3 linked regions of the Arabidopsis thaliana genome follow. The protein of the gene in region 1 interacts with the protein of each later gene in a pairwise test. Each region holds a gene or a part of one and is shown in the gene's direction. Other genes may lie near its edges.

Region 1 (8,686 bases):
AAACATAGCCAGTTCTCCAGTGATTAAACTTGCATTCAGTAAAATCAGTGAAGAAGAGTACCTTGGTGAAAACACGAAGAAGAAGGGGACATGTCTGCGATTCGAAGGTTAAAGATAAAGAAATCAATAAGTACAGATAAAAACCCTAAAAGGAAACCCTAAAGGATGATGATTCAACGATTCGCGAATAATGAAATCGAACACAAACCTTTTCACGATCGACAGGTTCAGGTTTAGGGCGAGGAGGTTGTTGGTTAACGCCTCTCGGAGGTGGCGGTAATGGTCTCCCACCACCTTGTCTTCTCGCTGCTTCAGCCATCTCTCTTTTTCTCTCGAGAGAAATCACTACGACGAAGAAGAAGGTAATGGCACAGAGATTGATCGGACCGCTTTAGGCCCATACTTATTTAACCTAATGGGCCTTTTGTACAACAATTTGGGCCTAACTCGTTTATAGATTTTGTTGCCAATGGTCCGTTTAAAAGATTTGAAATATATATATTTTTTTTCTACTTTTTCTTTTCTTGGTTTATAACCTTTGAATATCTATATTTGAAACACACATTGAAGATCACTAACTCGAAATTCAAAAATAAAAAGAGAGACAAATATAGCAATCCATAATCAATGCATAGAGACTTCAAGTGACCTACTAGGATCCCACTAAAAAATAATATGCTGTTTTTTGCCTATTCCTTTTGCATCATTCTTGTTATAGTAAAATGGTAAAAGAAATTATGGAAAATAAGAAAATGGGGTCATTGAATGTCAAGAGGGTAACATTTTCAGACGATAAGGCGCAATGACCCCACACCTCACATGAAGCTGCAGTGCCATTTCCAAAAGAGTGTGTGGATATGAATTTGAACAAAGAAACATTGGTGATGAAATTAAAAAAGAAAAGGAAAGATTACTACAAAGTGAAAAGTATGAAATTATGAAGACTACCCGATCTTCTTTGCCTCCCTTTCCGTATTTGGCATGCCCCTAACCACTACCACAACCTCTTCCCTTCGGAACTTTGTAAATAAACATTCACTGTTTTTTTTTTTGCTTTTTAAATAGCTGTTAATTGTACAAATTCATTTACATGGCTTACTGTTTTTCAAAAGGAGATACTAAATAGTATATAGTACTATAATTTTGTCCACCATGTTCTATGAAACTCGTCCAAACATAAAAAGGTTTTTATATCATCAAACGTACGACTTTCCTTTGTTATTTTCTTGGATTGGACACAACGAGATTGGTTTGGTCACTGTCCGATCTAGTTATTGATATATATATATATATATATATATATATATATATATATATATATTTTTTTAATATAATGTAGATGTAGCCCACTAACTTTTGATAAGCTTTCATTTTTCTATACTTTCATTTTTCTATAATGTAAAAAGATAGATGAAAATGAAACTACTAGATTACAACTTTTTAACAAAAAATAAAAAACTACTAGATTACAGCTCTTGATTGGTTGATAACTTGATATCATATATCGTGTTTGTAGTTGAAGATGTAAAGATTTATCATCTTGTATTTGAATTTTGCACAATATATAATGTGATGATTCTATGTTTGTTTGTAAACTTATGTGCAAATGGGCGATAACTAAACGTTCGTAAAATAGTTACATGTACTAATTAATCGAAGCACATAAATATTATATATATATATATGTATATATATGAAACGATTCATTGATTTTAAGTATTTAATTTATTTTTTAAGATTTTAGTTGTCTTAACCTCGTACGAAGAAGAAGGATATATACTATTTAACTCGTGGAGATGATGAGGTTCGGATATTTTTCCTTAAGACCACAAGACACTGACACGCCGACTGATCGATAAAAAAAGTTAAGGCCTACAATACAAAAGAGTAGCAGATTCCCTTACACGTGTTTCATTTATGATCTGTTAATTAACTCCATTGAGCTTCAATATCTCATTAGCCGAAAATTAACTTGACGTTTTCCATTGAACTGTCGAAAAAATTTGTAGAAAAAGTGAAATGTCCCCTATTTAACTTCCAAGTTTAAAACCTAAAATTAATTAGTTACCGTTTTGATGAATAACGTTGAAAGAATCGTCAACATATCAAATGATGCAGATACAACAAGGGACAAAAACATCAAAAAATTGATTAAAAATAATCATTCAGATATTAGCAATTAAACTGTAAGTAAATGATTGCATATATATATATGAATGAATACATATATATGTATCAAACTGTAAGTAAATAATACATACATATATATATATATATATAGGAAAATATCTCATTTTTCAATCATTTTCAGAGGTAAACATTTTTAAAGACAATTTTACCTAACCCAACATCTTACTATATTTAACCAGCTCTGCGAGAGCTTCAAAACAATGATGAATTTTCTGCCCCTTTTCATTGACCAAATAAAAGTTCACAAATTTGTAAAACCAATCAGCATTAATTTCGCACGTAGTTTACTTCGTCCGATTTTAGATCAAGTAGACATTTTAACCAAACATATTGAATCACGGTTCAATCAAGATACATGGTTGCGAGTATAATATATCAATCCTTCACCGCATTAGAAAACCAAATTTTCTATTTAATTTAGCGTGTTCTTTTAATGAACGCAGCGTCAGCGACAACAAAGAAGAAAAACAGATCTGCGGCGAGAAAAAATACATTGATTAGAGAAGAACTGCCGCAAAAGATGTACGATGATGAAGATTGACGTGACGCTGCTTAATTTCAGCGATTCATTTGATGCAATTGCAATTCATCGGCTATCATCGGCGACTCATCCGAAATTGTTATTTTCAAGCTTTAATGTCGTTTTACTTACCTACTACTTCTCATGACACGTCGTTTCAGTCCGCTATTGCCGCTGGCGCAGCATCAAATAAAAGAACACGCTAGGATAGCTTGAAAAGGGTACAATAACTAGTTATAGAAGAACATGAGCCATAACATTTGGAAACAAAATGAGTTAGTTTGAATTTGAAACATCGCGCTCTATGTAAAAAAAGCAAAAAAGAAAAGAAAAGAGTCCTAATAATTAAAAAGAGAAAATAAAAGGAATTTTCAATGGTCCGACTGTTACAAGTAGATTTCCATTTTTAGGAATCTAGCTATAACGATGAAGACAGAGTTATCATTTTGTTCCATCAAATATATGACGATATTTATATTTAATTTCTTCAACAACAAATATCTCATTTGTTGGTGCCACTTTCACATACTTAGGACGACTAATAATTAATTAAAAAGGATTTATGTAATAACGCACCATATTAACCTGTAACAAGAAGAATTGAAAGTAATACAAGTTTATATATATAGCAACACATTTATCGTGTACGATACTTTATTCCTTTTATCTATTCTTGAAAAAAAGTTACCAATTCTTGAGAAGAAGAAGAAATCAGAATCAAGAGAAGGAGAGAGAAAGATGGGAAGAGGGAGAGTGGAGATGAAGAGGATAGAGAACAAGATTAATAGACAAGTGACCTTCTCAAAAAGAAGAAACGGTTTGCTGAAGAAAGCTTATGAGCTTTCTGTTCTTTGCGATGCCGAAGTTGCTCTCATCATCTTCTCAAGCCGTGGCAAGCTCTACGAGTTTGGTAGTGTTGGGTATATATATCTTTGCTCCTTTGAACCAACTTTTGTGCTATATATATTAAGATTCATCCAATAAAGCTATGTTTTTTATATGAAAATTGATTAATAAATGGGTTCATTTGCTACTTGTTACATCGTACGATTCAAGAGTCGGATCATGTTTTGATCTTGTGGTTATTCTTAATGGTTGTATCGTTTATCCTGTGGTAATTAGGGTTCATCGTTATATCGTGTCTCCCTCTTGGATCCTTTATCATAAGCTAATAGGTCCTTCCGTACGTTATAATTTGTTGATTTCCCATTCATGAATTCCTTTGATTCTTTAATCTTACAGATGACAGGTTTCAAATGGGTTTAATTCTAGCTTTAAAAAAAAAAAAAACAAACAAACTAGGGTTTTCCCTTTTAGATCAGTGTGTAAGATATATAACTTGAGTTCTTGTCGTAAGAAGAATCTTTATTTGTTGAATCGAGCTAATGATCTCCCATTTTTGTTTTAATTGAATTTGTAGAATTGAAAGCACAATCGAACGGTATAATCGTTGTTACAACTGCTCTCTAAGCAATAATAAGCCTGAAGAGACTACACAGGCAAGTGTGTGTACGTACTTTGAATATATTTACAATTATTGTTTCTGATGATAATGATTCTAGCTAACTCTATTTTCTCAAATTCTCATGTTACTATATATATGCATTTCATATAATCTATATGGTGCAGAGTTGGTGTCAGGAGGTGACAAAGCTTAAATCCAAATACGAATCTCTTGTTCGTACTAACAGGTCTAGTAATTAAGAGTTTTCTATAACCCCTTGAAATTAAATCGTTATTGTCATCTTCCATTATATATGTATAGTTACAAATCTATTGTTATGGGTGTTGATAATTGCTAATTATAAAAGGAATTTGCTTGGAGAAGATCTTGGAGAAATGGGTGTGAAGGAACTGCAAGCGCTCGAGAGGCAGCTCGAAGCCGCTCTTACCGCGACTCGACAGCGCAAGGTCACATGATCTAGACTGGTCTTGTTTCATTAAAAATATATTCATAACTAAAACATTCAACTAAAATATGCAGACACAAGTTATGATGGAAGAAATGGAAGACCTTAGGAAAAAGGCAAGTTATATAAAAATGTTTCATACCAAACTGCAAAACATATATGCATATCAATCAATCTATGTTTGAAATGGCAGGAGAGGCAACTAGGAGACATAAACAAACAACTCAAGATTAAGGTTTTTATTTCTAGACATCGCAAAATTATATTATAACTTCTCATATAATTAATTATGACATTTGGATCTTAACTAAACATAAATTTTCAATAGTTTGAAACGGAAGGCCATGCTTTCAAAACCTTTCAAGACTTATGGGCAAACTCGGCGGCATCGGTGGCCGGGGATCCAAACAATTCTGAATTTCCGGTAGAGCCTTCTCATCCTAATGTATTGGATTGCAACACCGAACCCTTTTTACAAATAGGGTAAGAATATACCATTTTTCCCGGCCCTTACAAATAAATGGATAGAAATAAGATATGATTATAAGACTTGTTTGGTATTTGGATTAGGTTTCAACAACATTACTACGTGCAAGGTGAAGGGTCTTCGGTATCAAAGAGTAACGTGGCAGGTGAGACTAATTTCGTCCAAGGTTGGGTTCTTTGACTCTCTGTTGATTAGACCACGATGCCACGGTCAGGCCAATTTCAGCTCTCTACAGTTGTTCTTTTTTCAAATTAGATTTCTGGGTTTTTTTTTCCTATAAGAAAAACTTTTGCACTAGATGTTTGTCATTTAATTTCCAGCTCGTGTGAATCTATATTCGCATGTATGTGCTTTGAAGAATTTCTCCTCTTACTCCTACTTGATCTAAAACATTATTTTTGTTTTGGTTTTACCAACATTTTCCAAATGAAATAAACTTTAATAATTGTTCTAAAATCAATTAAATGAATAGATTTATTTGGCATGAATACTATTAAATCTCAGACATATATTTATGAATGCTGAATTGTGAATAGTAGGAACAAATAATAAATCGTGCGACGTCGAATCAATTGGGTGACGAATAATCAAAGGAGGATTCAGCTCAACTACGCAAGTAGGAGTAATGAACTTCCGAAACAATTGGGTGAGTAAATGAAATCAACCTGTAACTAAAAAAATGAACGAATAATAAAATGCCACGTAGTTGACCTTGGAAAAAGCGCAATGATATGAAGCCAGGTAGGACCCACATTGCTGTTTCTTGATTTGACTTTTGGAAGAGAAGAGCTCCTCTTTCTTTAGCAAACTTTACTGTTGTTGATATATGTCTTTTCCATAAAGTCTTCATATTTATTGAGGTTTTTTTTTTTTTTTTACATACTAGAATTTAAGTTTTTAATACTCTCTTATATTTATGGGCTGTTATCGCAAAGTAGGCCCTTTTATAAGTGGGCCATTACAAAATAAATTCATGGGCCCATATAAATGTTAACGGCACATGTCATATCACAATCATGTATCTCTATTATCTAAAGATTCTAAACGATTTGAAATATTGGATTATGCGTATAATGTTTTTTTTTTCTTTGATGGGCTAAAAGCCTCTACAACATTTGGATTTATGCCCTAAATCTCCTCTCCCGGTGATCTTTTGAACTTGCTTGGGGGGGACGCAACTTCTTCCAAGACAGTCACACATGCTACTAGACCGATCTTTGTATTGTAGAGTTGCCACCGTTGTCGTGTATCAGCTCTTCATCTGAAATGATGCAGTTATTGATTTTTGGCCAATGGATAATGTTTAATGTGCTCTCATAATTTTCTTTATATTTTTTTACCAGTTTGGGAAGTTCTAGACCTCTAGTCTCTCGACTTGAGAAACCAGTAAGTTATATAGTACAGATATTCCTGATTTTATGATTTTGAGGGAAGAAAGCTAAATTGATACATGAAAACAAAACATAATCAAAATTACATTCTAGAGAGGCAAGTGTAAGAACATAGATACATAACACAAGCAGTTCAGAATCATTAAAGAAGTGACTGAGAGAGAGAGAGTGAGAGAGAAATAAGACAACAAGAGAGAAGCAGCTTTAGAGTTTTGTTACTTGTCCTTATACACTCTCAGTACTGCTAAACCTGTTTTTACTTAGTTTGTTTTTTTGTTTTTTTTGTTGAGTGGAGATCACTTTCTTGAAGAACAAGGTAACCCAATGAACAATTGCGTCTCTACTTCAGAACTTGGGCTACTCTCTTCATCACCTCTTCCAGTACTTTCTTGATTCTTATTTGACCAAACTTCGCTTTCATGAGATCCCCACTGCATTCAAATAGAATTATTACACAAAATTAATAGATGCAAATTAGAAGATATATAGAACAATACATAAATTAAAGAAGGTTGATGATTGAAGATAACCAAGAAAAACTAGTAAGGACTCTCCTAACCTAATAACCCCCAAAAAGAACCCCAACTTTCTTATCTTTACCGAATAAAAAAACGAATGTGCAACCCTAACTTGAGACCCATAAGAATATATTATACCTTTTCAGAGAGCTTCTCGTTTTCTGCAGCTAGAGCTTTCTCCTGCAAAAGTTTTAGATTCCAATTTGTAAAAAGCAAGCACAAGAGGCTTACTTACTTGGAATATTACACAATTTGCATACATACTTATATCTGTTTATATACACTCATAAAAACTACTTTACCTTTTGCTTGAGCTGCTCAATTTGTTCCTTAAACACTTGAGTCTAAAAGAGATGAGAAATTGAGTTATAATTATGAGTGGTTTCAGAAGATGATTCGAACAATACTTATAATGTGGAGATATAACAGATAAATATATACACATACCTTTCTTGCTCGAATACATTTGACACTTTTCTCAAGCTGTTGCTCAATCTGTTGCAGCTCCTCGATTGAGCATGTTCCTATGCCTTCTCCCAAGAGTTTACTGATTACAAAAACAAAACACTAATTGATCAAACTCTCCTATGCATCATGAAATAGATATATACAAGTGATGAATAATGTGTTTGTATATATGTATATATCACAAACCGTTTAGAAGCTTCGAGTTGTTCAATTTTCTTCATCATGTTTGCTGCTTCATATTTCAAATGCTGTTGGTTATATCACAGAAATGTTATTGCATGTACATATATATCCTAATTATAAATATGTGACTTGATCCTGTGACCTTGAGATTATATACATATTGTGGTTATATTCATTACCGCTCTTTGATATTATATAGTAAAAGTATTAATTAGCAAGAATTGATATATAGGCAAGAAGATCATAAAGAATAAACCTGCATATTTTCTTCAGAAACCGGTTTGGTGCTGACTCGATCCTTAGTATGCCTCAGATAACGATCTATGGTATCTTGCATACTGTCAAAAACATATATAATTGGAACATTAAAGTAAATCATCAGAGATCAAATTTAGATCCCAATGGTGTTCTCAAAACATTTCTTATTGAAGATATCACTAGACTTAATCAAGGACATAGCTTGAAAAGTCTTGTACTTTTTCCCCCTATTTTAGAAAATCAAAAACATGTGAGGTCTTATCTTTATATTTAGTAGGTTCGAGAGAAAGAAGTACTTTCCCAAATGGACCAAATGTCTGAAACATCTGATCAAAAGCTGGCATTTTCATTTACAGAAGTAATGATTCATCAAAAGTAAGTTTGGTTTCCCTACTACCTAACAGTACAAGATAAAACTCTTTTGATTCTCAAAAACAATCAACATTTAGGTTTGGCTAGCTAGCTTTGAGTTTCTATGTCAAAATCAGGAACAAATATTCAAACAAATTGAACTAAATTAGGAATGAGCATGAAATGAAGCATGAGGGATTAATAAATCAGGAATGATGAAACAACTTCCTAATCATCACTTAGAAATTAGAACAACATGTTTTGCTTAAAGCAATAACAAGACAAAGATTAGTTCAAACCAAAAGAATACTAATTGAAAGTTGTTTTATTAATACTATGTGATCATGATCTCTAAGAAGATCAAATATATAACAAGTGTAAATTGGCTACGAAAGAGCACATTTTATTTA
Region 2 (5,457 bases), on another chromosome or scaffold:
GGAGGAGTTAGTGGAAGAGAATGAGTACAAGAGGACATGTAGGAGCTGGGGATTTGAGAACTTGGAGATAGAGAACAGGAGAAACAAAAATAGTAGTACTATGGCAACTACTTTTAATAAAATCATTGACAATGTAACCCTCGAGCTTTTTCCTCTCCATCCTGAAGGGAGATGAAGTCATGAAGGTGAGGCAGAAAATTGTGGAATTCTTATGTAGATCTGGTTTAGGTTCAGAGGAATCAATTGGTATCTAGAAATTCAAAATAAAAATAAAAATAGGAATAAGTCTCTAAAACTACAAAATCTACTTAAGAATTCCCTTATTAATCTGCGAGTTTGATGTATCCTATGTAGATTATTTTTGCGATGTAATCTTAATTATGAATGCTCAGTTTAGCTCATCTTTTTTTCGCGTTTATTCTTGACAAATTCACTAGTGATCAGTTGTACTCTCTTCTGATTTGGCCATCTAAGTATTTCTCTAGATCGTTGGTATGTAGGAATGTTTCATTTAGAGAAATTTCTGAATAAAGACACATTTGATGTTGTTAAAATAATATCTCTGTCTTAATTCCTACGTACGTACAAGAGCAAGAAGTTAAAAGGAAATAATAATAGCATTTCCCGTTGAAAAGGGGGTAGACCTAGTATATTTCTATATAAACAAACATTGAAATCTAAAACTTTTTGTACTGTTATATACTTATATTAAAACTCTTAGTAAAACAGGTGACTCAATAATATTTATATTAATTTTTTATTTTTGATAAATATATACTAAATAAGTTTATGAGATGATAACAAGAAGAATCTTTTCAAGAATTTGATATTTCCAATGGAATGTGTACAAAGACATCAATATATGTAAGCTGTGGTGTGTATGTGGTTAGTTGTTTGTCTGATGCTTTATTGACTCTCGCAAGTGGTTGTTTTGTATTTTGGTTGAAACAAAGAGAGAGTTTTGCTTTTTAGGTTAAAAGTTGAAATGGCATTATATGAGACACACTCACTGAAGTCCATGCACTCGCTTTCCCGCTACATTGCATGCTAGCTAGCTGTTTCTATACATACGCAGATATATGTAGCTCTTCTATATTTTCGCACTTAATTATTGTAAGTGACATTCTTCTTTTCATTTTGGTTATATGCCGATAATTTTGTTTTATTTTCTGATAGCTAACTTCTACTTGGTTGTTAATTATATACCAATTTTCCTTCTTTTTTTCTTTTAAATGTTGATGCAACGTAAAACAAAACTGTATATTTCTACAGTGATTTTAAATAAACGCTAAACTTAAAATAATCTTTTTTGGTAAAGGGTTTAAGATAAATTATAACTTTGTTGGACATCAATTAAACATATATAGAAGTACTCTAAGTTTCTTTATGTTTAGATTATGATTTCTAATTGAAACAAACACATTTCCAGCTAAGTTTATCTTTAATAACCAAACTACCTAATATTTTAAGTCTATCTTTACCGGTAATCATATTCTCAAATGATTATTTGCCATGCATTATGAATTGGTTGCCCGTGGGCGTGGGGCATGGCGTTCCATTACTTATAATCTTGGAGGGAAGCAAGATTGAAATTTAGAAATAAAGAACTTTATTCAATTGGTAATGGGACCATGACTATTTTTTCAATAATTCAATGTTTCTTGGTTTTCACGTGTACATATATATAAGTCCAAAATAATTTCAAACACATAGTATTCAAATAGTATTAGGCCTATCGAAACCGGTTTTGGCCAGGCCGGTCAGCTTGCTACATGTATGGGTTAGCAAACAACGGGCTTCGTGGGCTCTACGACGGCAATGTGTTGGAATTGTATCCTTGATTGAATCTGAAAAAGAAGAAGAAGAATCCATGAGAAGAAGAAGATGAAGAACAGAGGAAGAAGAAGATGATGTCGTGAAGAGAAGAGTCAAAGGAAGAGAAGAAAGTCAACAAACATATGGGCTTTGTGTTTTGTAATATGGTTGTAATGGGCTGAAGATGAATTAGGCCCAAGTATGTTTAGTTAAAGAGTGTTGTGTTGTAAGTCTAAGTTAGAGTAGAAGAGTGAATCAAGGAGTGAGAGTTCCAATGTATGTAGAAGTAGGTCTTGTGTAAGAGCCATCATTAGGTCTAAGTGCAAGTGTGCAAGTGTGTGTGTGTCTCAAGTAGAAGTAGTTTATGTATGTGTGTCCTTGTGTTGTGTAAGAGTAACCAAGTAATTAACAATGTAGTCTTTGGAGGAAAACGCTTTTGTGTCTCTCTAGAACAAAGAATAAAATCTGTGTGAGAGACAAGAGAGCAAGAGATCTAACTAAAGTGGTTAGATATGTGAGAATTACAACACAATGTCATATATGTATACATCAGAATATTAAACCTACAAAACAAAAGTAGCTCTGGAAATCTCAATAATGTAGTCTCTTAGAAGGATCCACAAAGGCCACAGAGAAGAAAACATAATGCTTAATAACAAAGATGAACAATGTGGATTTTGCCAGAATATTTATGGCTGTGAGCTTGTTTCTTCAAGAAGTCTCTACCTTTTAACTTCTCAAAAATCAAGTTTCTTAAACAAGTCTTCAATGCTGAGGATGTCACAGAAGAAGTCTTCAACAAACCTGTAGCCATGTTTTGATCACAGAAGAATCAGTACTTATATGTTTCTAATTGATACAAGATTCTTCTCCAGCAAAACCCTGATTTCTTCTTCCAAATCTCACTTGTTCTTCTTTCAGAATCTTCCATACGAATCTTTGATTCTGTTGTAATTCTCACAATCTCTCTATTTCTCACACTCCTTTACGGTTTCATTGTCTTTAGAGAGAAAGAACAAAAACTATTTTCTTTTAATCTTCTACTTTGATAATATTCTTGGATACTCTTACACAACACAAACAACACATACATATAGTGGTTTTGCTCCACTTGGTAGACTACACACACTTAGACTCTAGACCACATCATTGTCCTAAGACTTACATCATCCACTCTACTATGTTGGAACTCCAACACCTTAATTCACTCTCTTAGTTTACTTTAGTTGTCACAACCTCTTCTTGTTGGACCTTAACTAGACAACTTGTACAAAACACTTATTCGTATGGGCCTTATCTCATTACCTATGACCCAACACACAAAACACAAACCCATTTGGTTTGTTGACTTTCTTCTCTTCCTTTGACTCCTCTCTTCACGACGTCTCTTCTCCGCCATCGTCTTCTTCTTCCGTTGCTTCTTCCTTTGTTCTTCATCTTCTTCTTCTCACCAAGCTTGTTATTCTTGTAGGATTTAGTTTAGGATACTCAATTCCAACAGATTCTCGTAATCTCCATATCTAGATCCTCTTCCGAATCCGTAATCACCAATTCACCATTATCAACCAAAAGCTTGAGTTTTTGTTGTGTATCGGACATTGATTCACCAGCATAAAACAGAGATTCCATACTAGGGTTTGAGATTGTATTCTTCAATACTGTGTCGTCTTCTTCTTCCTCACAAAGTTTGCAATTTTGGTTTTTGGATTCGTAACGGTCACAAAGAGAAGAAGAGAGGCTCCTAAATATTTTGTTGTATTGACGCTTTTACCCTTCATAACGGTCTTATTTTATTGACCGTTGACCAAACCGGTTAAAGGAAGAATTTGCATGTTGGTTTACTCGTCCTCCTTCGCTTATTAGACAATCAGTAGTAAACAAATTCACCGACTAAACCAAAAATTCCACTAAATACAGATTCGGTTTAACTAAACCGGTCTTTGTTTGTATTAGATGGTTTTGAGTAATTTACTTTTAGAAAAGGAAACAGTTTTAATTTTTCGTTTAATTACCGATTAGGGTATTATCAGTAAAAAAGGAAATCAAAATCGATGTTGTTTCAGGTGGTTTTGTGTACTAATTACTTTCAAAAAAGGAAAACAAGTTTATTTAGTCGTTTAATTACTGATTAGCAATTATCAGAAAAAGGAAATAACATGGATTAATTAGAAAACGAGTTAGGGCTACTAAGTCTATATATATATCTATCTGATTAGAACGAGAGTGAGTCCATTATCATATTCTTCTTTCGCAACAAGCGGCAGCACACAAAACTCTCAAGTCTTGTCTCGTTCTCTTTTGTTTGTGAAACTGAGAAAAAAAACAGAATGGGTGGCGTGAAGAGGAAGATTGCTATAGAGAAGATACAGAACAAAAATCCACGAGCGGTTTCATTCTCCAAACGTCGTAAGGGTCTGTATAGCAAAGCTTCTGAACTTTGTCTTCTCTCGGACGCAGAGATTGCGATCATAGCGACTCCTGTTTCTTCTAATTCCAACGCCGCTTTCTACAGTTTTGGCCACTCCTCTGTTGATAATGTCGTCGCTGCTTTTCTCGCCAATCAGCGTCCTTGTGATGAAAGGTTTTGGTGGGAAGATGAGAGTCTTCTAAAATCAGAGAATCTGGAGGAGTTGAGAGAGGCGATGGATTCAATGTCGACTATGTTGCGAGATCTCAAGGAGTTGGAGAAGCAAAGAGATCATCAAACGCAAACCCTAATTCATCAGCCGTGTTCTGCAAGGGTTTGCATTCAAGATTATGTAACTGTGAATTTCGATGGGTTTAACACGGAAGAGCAAACCCTAGCGGTTTCTGACAATAGTAACAACAACGGTTTACTTGGAAACTTGGATGAGTGCAATGAAGATTTTGATGATCTCGATCAAATCTTCGATACGGTGACAAACTCTGAATTTTTATCGGTGAATTTGGAGATGGATGATGTAACTGTGAATTCTGAAGGGAACACGGAAGAGCAAACCCTAGCGGTTTCTGACAATAGCAACAACAACGGTTTACTTGGAAACTTGGATGAGTGCAATGAAGATTTTGATGATCTCGATCAAATCATTGAGTATTTGACAAGCTCTGAAGCTTTATCCATGAATTTAAAGATGGATGATGTCTGATGCATGCCTCTATGGTGACAATTTGTGTTTATGTTGAAATTGGATCCTTGATTTAAGTATTGCTTCGGTTTAGTATATCTTTGTATGTCTTTTATCAGCTTATGACTTTATTTGATCTGCGTGATATTTTCGTATATCTAACCAAAACATAAGAGCATCCCCAACCACAATACACCAAATTTTAACACCAAATTTGATATTTTGGTGTTTCAATTGTTTTATCATCTCCAACCATAACACCAATTTCACACTAAAAATATTACTTTTTATTATAATATTATTAAACTTAAGATTTTCTTTATTTTTTTAATAGTTTGATATACATAACATATTTCATAACTAAATTATTTTAACTTAATTAATATAAGATTACAATCGATAAATTGAAAATAACAAAAAAAAATTACATTGTACTAATTCTCAGAATTAGTATATACGGACCACAAGTGTTCAATTAATGCATTTCGAAGTTTAATATGAGCTTCACGGTCTTTGATTTTCCTGTGTCGAGCTA
Region 3 (5,645 bases), on another chromosome or scaffold:
GGTAGCTTTCCCACTAGCTGGTTATGGCCGACATCAAGAGACCTCAGTATTTCAAATATTTGCTTTGGAAGACCTCCGCTAAGATGATTCTGACGAAGGTTTAGAACTGAAAGAGTACTCTTGAGATGTCCCATGCAACGAGGGATTGAACCATTAAAGTTGTTGTCAGATAAATCGAGTGTGTTTAGAGAACGCAACCCGCATATGAAAGAAGGAATCTTGCCTATGAAGTTATTGTTGGAGCCAAGCAAGTACAGCAGAGATGGTTCAGGTTTCGATGGTCTTTGGAAACCGATTAAAGTGTTGTTGGAAAGATTCACGTAGTACAAGATTGGTAGCCTCCATAACCAGTCAGGAACTTGACCTTTGATTTTGTTGTTGGAAATGTCTAGAAACCCCAATTCGTGTTGGGTTCTTACGAACTCTGGAAATTCAGTGATACCGCACCCTGACAAGTACAAAGATTGTATCAATTGCGAAGGAGGATCTGAAACTGAACTTTTGTTTGTGGCCGAAACATGGTTGCCTGAGAGATCCAATAAAAGGAGCCTTTTGAAATATGATAAGAAATAGTTCAAGTCGATCCTAGTGGTGGTGTTCAAATGGGATATGTTTAGATCTAGGAGTGACTTGAGATGGGAGAAGATACTAAAGTCAACTGGGCCTTGGGTGTTTAAATGGGAAATGTCAAGTCGGAAAAGTTTGACTAATTTGGAAATGGAACTAGGGATTGGTCCTATGAAGTTGTTGTTGCCAATGTCTAACTCATATAGGTTAGATGGTGAAGATATATTTCCAAACTCAAGAGTGCCTTTGAGTTGGTTACCATTCAAACGAATGTAAGTCAAAGAAGGAATGGTGAAGAGAAAAGAAGGGAACGTTCCGGTGAAGGCGTTGTCACTTGCATCAAAATCCATCAAGTTGGATAGTGAAGTGATATTAGGAGGAAGCGTGCCTGTGAACTTATTGTTGGAGAGTGATAAAAGTGACAACCCTGTCAAGTTCAGTAGGACATTGGGAAAGTTTCCGCTGAGCTTATTGTCATCAACATATAAGCGGGTCAGCTGGTTTAGATTGCCAAAAGAAGATGGGATTTCACCAACGAAATTGTTACTAAAGAGGCCGAGAAAGGTAAGTTGAGAAAGGTTTCCAATAAAAGATGGAATCTGACCCGAAAAATTGTTATTAGAAAGGTCGAGAGTGGTGAGATTAGAAAGATTTCCAATTGAAGATGGAATCTGACCCGAAAATTTGTTACTGAAAAGGCTGAGAGTGGTGAGATGAGAAAGACCTCCGATAGAAGACGGAAACTGACCAAAAAACCGATTATAAGAAAGATCTAGAAAAGTGAGATGAGAAAGATTACAAATTGATGATGGAGCCTGACCCGAAAATTGATTATCAAAAAGGTTGAGATAGGTGAGACGAGAAAGGTTTCCGATTGAATTCAGAATCTGACCCGAAAAATGATTAGAAGAAAGGTCGAGATAGGTGAGATGAGAAAGATTTTCAATTGATGACGTGATTTGACCTTTAAAATCATTAAATGAAAGGTCTAGAGTGGTTAGGAAATGAAGGTTTCGAATACTGCTGTTGGAATGAAACCGGCCATGGAGAGAGCTGCAGCTTAGGTCTAGCTCGATCACTTCCCCGGACTTGGCATTGCACGTGACTCCCTCCCAATTACAACAGTCGCTGTTATTCCCCCATGAGTCCGTCTTCCGAGGAGATTCAATGCCATAAATCTTACAATGATCAGGAGAAGGCTTCCCAATCTCAAACTCGTTTTTGAACGCGAGGAGTGCATCCCTTTGTTCGGGACGACACAAGTTCCTAGTTGGAGCCGCAAGCACGTCCAGAAAATGACAAATGAATAAGAAAATAAAAGAGAGAGTAATACGAATGATACTCTTTGAGTTCCAAAAGCCTTCCATCATTCTTAAGCTAATTTAATTTTCTTGAATATTGATAGTGAAAAAGCAAAAAAATAAAATCTGGAAATTGTGATGGTACGTAACATGTTTTCATGCCCATCTCTTTATATACAAAAATAATAGACTCTATTCCACAAAGATAATTCCAACACAGCTTGACCCTCCGAGGCGTTTTTCACGTTAAACGCAACGACTTAAAAAGTCTTTACGTTGAATAATGTCCATTTCCACTCCTTTTGTCTTACTTTTTAGTTACGTACAGGGAACATGAAAAAAAAACGTTGTATTTTGTCCAGCCAAATTAAATTGATCGTGGAAAATGAATTCTGCAGGTAAGCAATGACTTGTTCATTGTTACTAGTGCTAGTGAATAGTGATGATCGACAGCGTCAAGAGTCAATCCCCATCGATGTATTAATTTTGCGCAAAAAAAACAACTGGGCTAGGGCCCAACAATGAAGGCGGATAAAAGAAAACGAAGGCCCATTTTACCATATGTCAGCGAACTCGGAAGAGTATAAATATTCCTCTTTGTGTTTACTTAAAACTAAAATTTGGGACTATTTTATAAAAAACTAATAAGGCCGCCTAAATAGGCGGGTGTGTGATTTAGATGTAAATCTTTATTGACAGTATTCAAATGTTGAATAATAAAATAGTAATTTATATTTTTTTTGACAATTAATTTAATATTTTTTTATTTAACAAAATTTGATGCTTATACATTCTCTTTTATCATACATTTTAATTCTACACATTCAAGCTTATTGATGATATTTGAATTCTAAATAATAACCTACAAATTTCTATCTTACACATTCAATTTTGCAATACAATTTAAGTATCTATTTCATCATAATATACTCGATTTTCATTCTAAACACTTCATCTTAAGTGAATTTTTTTTTATTAAAAAAATATATTTATATCAGATCTAATATATATCTTTGTTGATATTAAAAAAATAATAAACAGTAAACAAAACTTAACAAAAAAAAAATCCACAAAAATATTTGAAAAGCAAAACTTTTTAAAATGTTTCTTTATATATGGCGTAATTTTCTCTTATGTAAACTTATTTTAAATGAGTTAAAATTAATTAAAAAATATACTAACTTCTTTTTAAGTAATTGAAAAGTAAATCATATAAGTTGTTCTCTCCAAAAATCTTGTGTTTTAACTTATGACTACATGCGTTAAATTTTTTACAATAAAACATAGTTATAAGCTTTTAGTGACATATCAAAGGATCCAAGTTGCTCAATCACCGAATACGTTAAAATTCTTAGAATAAATCTTAAATATTTAAAAATTTATTATAATAAGGTCACTAAATTTTAAAAATATTTTTGTGTTCAAAATTTAACAAATGAAAACACTATATTACAATGATAAACACAATTTTATCCAATTAAATTAATTTTAAATAAATTATATTGTTATTTTAAACTTAAGTGGTCTTTTTAATTAGTTATTATTCATACTTAATGATTTTTCTTTTAAATTAATACATGATTATTTATTTAATTGACCAATAATATATGTGTTTTCAAATTTGTTAATTTTCTTTTTTGTTAAGAAAAATAAAGTTTAAATATTGTTAGATATATATAAATTAATATATGTAAATTTTTCTTTTTAAGGTTTTTTATTTTTTTAAGAGAATTAAAAAGTTAAATCTTTAATGACACATGTAAACATCTCAATGTTAGATTTGACACGTGCCACAATCTTATGAGGTAGTAATTTTGAAAACTGTACTTTATATAATAAGAAATTAATATATGTAAATTTTTCTTTTTAAGGTTTTCTATTTTTTTAAGAAAATTAAAAAGTTAAATCTTTAATGACACATATAAACTTCTCATTATTAGACTTGACACGTGCCACAATCTTATGAGTTAGTAACTTTAAAAACTATACTTTATATAATAAGATACTGGATGTGGGAAATCGTATCTAAGATCGTATCTACAACGGTTACATTGATATTGGTAAAGGAAAATCGTATCTAATTAAGATTTATCTCATAGACAGCAAACAAAAAGGGAATTTCATTACTTAAATATCACAACGGTTAGATTAATAGAAGTAAATCATCATCATTTAACGAAGAAAAGATACTCTAAAGAAAAAGGAAATAAAACCCACAGCTCAATTTGTCTCTCTTGGTTTAGTAAAATCAATATCAAATATTATATGGAAATACAAGAATTTCACAATTCTATATAACCCTGAACCGTGTGTTAGTTACACTAAGTTTATTTTCTAGGTTTCTCTCTGATAAGAAACTAGGTATCTTCTTCTTCTTTTTCTGTGGGTAAACAACAACAATGGATTCTTCAATGTCGACGAAGAAGAAAACCAAATTGTCTGTGAGAAACCAAACTTGTTTCAAGAAATCGTCCCTGTCTTCTTCTTCTACTGCAAAAAAGACCACGAATTTGTCTATGAGAGAACAGACCATGTTCAAGAAAGCCTTGGAGCTTTCAACTCTGTGCAACATCGATGTCTGTGTCATATACTATGGTCGTGACGGAAAACTCATCAAGACATGGCCGGAGGATCAATCAAAAGTTCGAGACATGGCTGAGAGGTTTAGCAGATTACACGAGAGAGAGCGATGCAAGAAAAGAACCAACCTTTCTCTGTTTCTACGTAAGAAGATCCTCGACGACACTAAATTGTCGGAGAAAGTCTTAGAGATGGAGGATTCGTTAGAAAGTGGTCTACGAGTACTACAAGATAAGCTTCTGTTACTCCAACCCGAGAAAAACCAGACCGAGTTTGGTCAGACCCGTGCGGTTTCTTCCACAACGAATCCATTGTCTCCTCCTCCTTCGCTAATTGAGGATCATCGTCATCAACAATGGACAGAACCATTGATGAGTGGTGTGTCAAACACAGAGCAAGACCTATCGACGTCATCATTGAGTCAAAATCAGAGCAGAATTTCAGTCTTTCTCTATAACCATGACAACCGTAGCTTCTATCAAGTCCCTGACTCAGTTTCTAGCTTTGACCAATCGGCTTTACTTGGGGAACAAGGATCTGGTCTAGGAAGTAACTTTGATCTTCCTCCCATGGTTTTTCCTCCTCAGATGCAGACACAAACCCCACTTGTCCCCTTTGATCAGTTTGCGGCATGGAATCAAGCACCGTCGTTTGCAGATCCAATGATGTTCCCTTATAATTAGTTCTTGTTGTTCCAAAAACTGATCTTTGACTTGGTGTACGTTTTATAATGATCTATTATATATGTATTCTTCATTTAGATTATGAGTTTAACTGTCTCTTCTTGTGCCTGATTACGAGTTTGTATTGAATTGTATGTTTTCCCAAGTATGAATGCTATTTTCTCAAGTTTCTAAAAACAGTCTTGGCTTCTTCTATAATTGTCTGAGTCTTATATTTGAGTTTGAAAACCTGCTATGTTCAGATTTTTAATATACAATAGATATTGAAGGTTAGATGTCGATAATTTATGCAGAGAAGCCAACTTTGATGAGTCAGATGCTTTGGTGACAGCTTCCAACAAAAAATGTTGTTAAAAGTAGTGTTTTGTCCAAGAGGTGGAAAAACTCTGGCTTTGTTGGATATTTGATGCCAATGAATTTGCAGATTACAATGCCTAAGTGAGTTTTGTCTACGTATATACGCCAATAATGAAGCTATACAGTTGCTTATCTCGTTTTACCCGATTCTTGAAGA

Evidence for each region.
Region 2: the proteins of AGL6 (region 1) and AGL97 interact in a two-hybrid assay, tested with the Arabidopsis thaliana proteins (one large-scale study listed by BioGRID).
Region 3: the proteins of AGL6 (region 1) and AGL53 interact in a two-hybrid assay, tested with the Arabidopsis thaliana proteins (one large-scale study listed by BioGRID).

Annotation. Positions count from the first base shown.
Region 1 is NC_003071.7:18,801,005-18,809,690, forward strand, and holds AGL6 (AGAMOUS-like 6), read left to right. Parts: upstream 1-3,185; 5' UTR 3,186-3,448; coding exon 3,449-3,630; intron 3,631-4,130; coding exon 4,131-4,209; intron 4,210-4,339; coding exon 4,340-4,401; intron 4,402-4,521; coding exon 4,522-4,621; intron 4,622-4,694; coding exon 4,695-4,736; intron 4,737-4,813; coding exon 4,814-4,855; intron 4,856-4,948; coding exon 4,949-5,103; intron 5,104-5,190; coding exon 5,191-5,287; 3' UTR 5,288-5,582; downstream 5,583-8,686. Other genes in the region: SAP18 (SIN3 associated polypeptide P18), read right to left, coding at 62-94, 209-319; AGL20 (AGAMOUS-like 20), read right to left, coding at 6,795-6,929, 7,155-7,196, 7,319-7,360, 7,464-7,563, 7,671-7,732, 7,924-8,005. UniProt on the Arabidopsis thaliana protein: Probable transcription factor. Forms a heterodimer via the K-box domain with AG, that could be involved in genes regulation during floral meristem development.
Region 2 is NC_003070.9:17,231,621-17,237,077, reverse strand, and holds AGL97 (AGAMOUS-like 97), read left to right. Parts: upstream 1-4,126; 5' UTR 4,127-4,142; coding exon 4,143-4,943; downstream 4,944-5,457. Other genes in the region: WOX4 (WUSCHEL related homeobox 4), read left to right, coding at 1-175. UniProt on the Arabidopsis thaliana protein: Putative transcription factor.
Region 3 is NC_003076.8:9,523,474-9,529,118, forward strand, and holds AGL53 (AGAMOUS-like 53), read left to right. Parts: upstream 1-4,267; coding exon 4,268-5,131; downstream 5,132-5,645. Other genes in the region: RLP53 (receptor like protein 53), read right to left, coding at 1-1,937; AT5G27065 (uncharacterized protein), read left to right, coding at 856-1,131, 1,194-1,229. UniProt on the Arabidopsis thaliana protein: Probable transcription factor that may function in the maintenance of the proper function of the central cell in pollen tube attraction.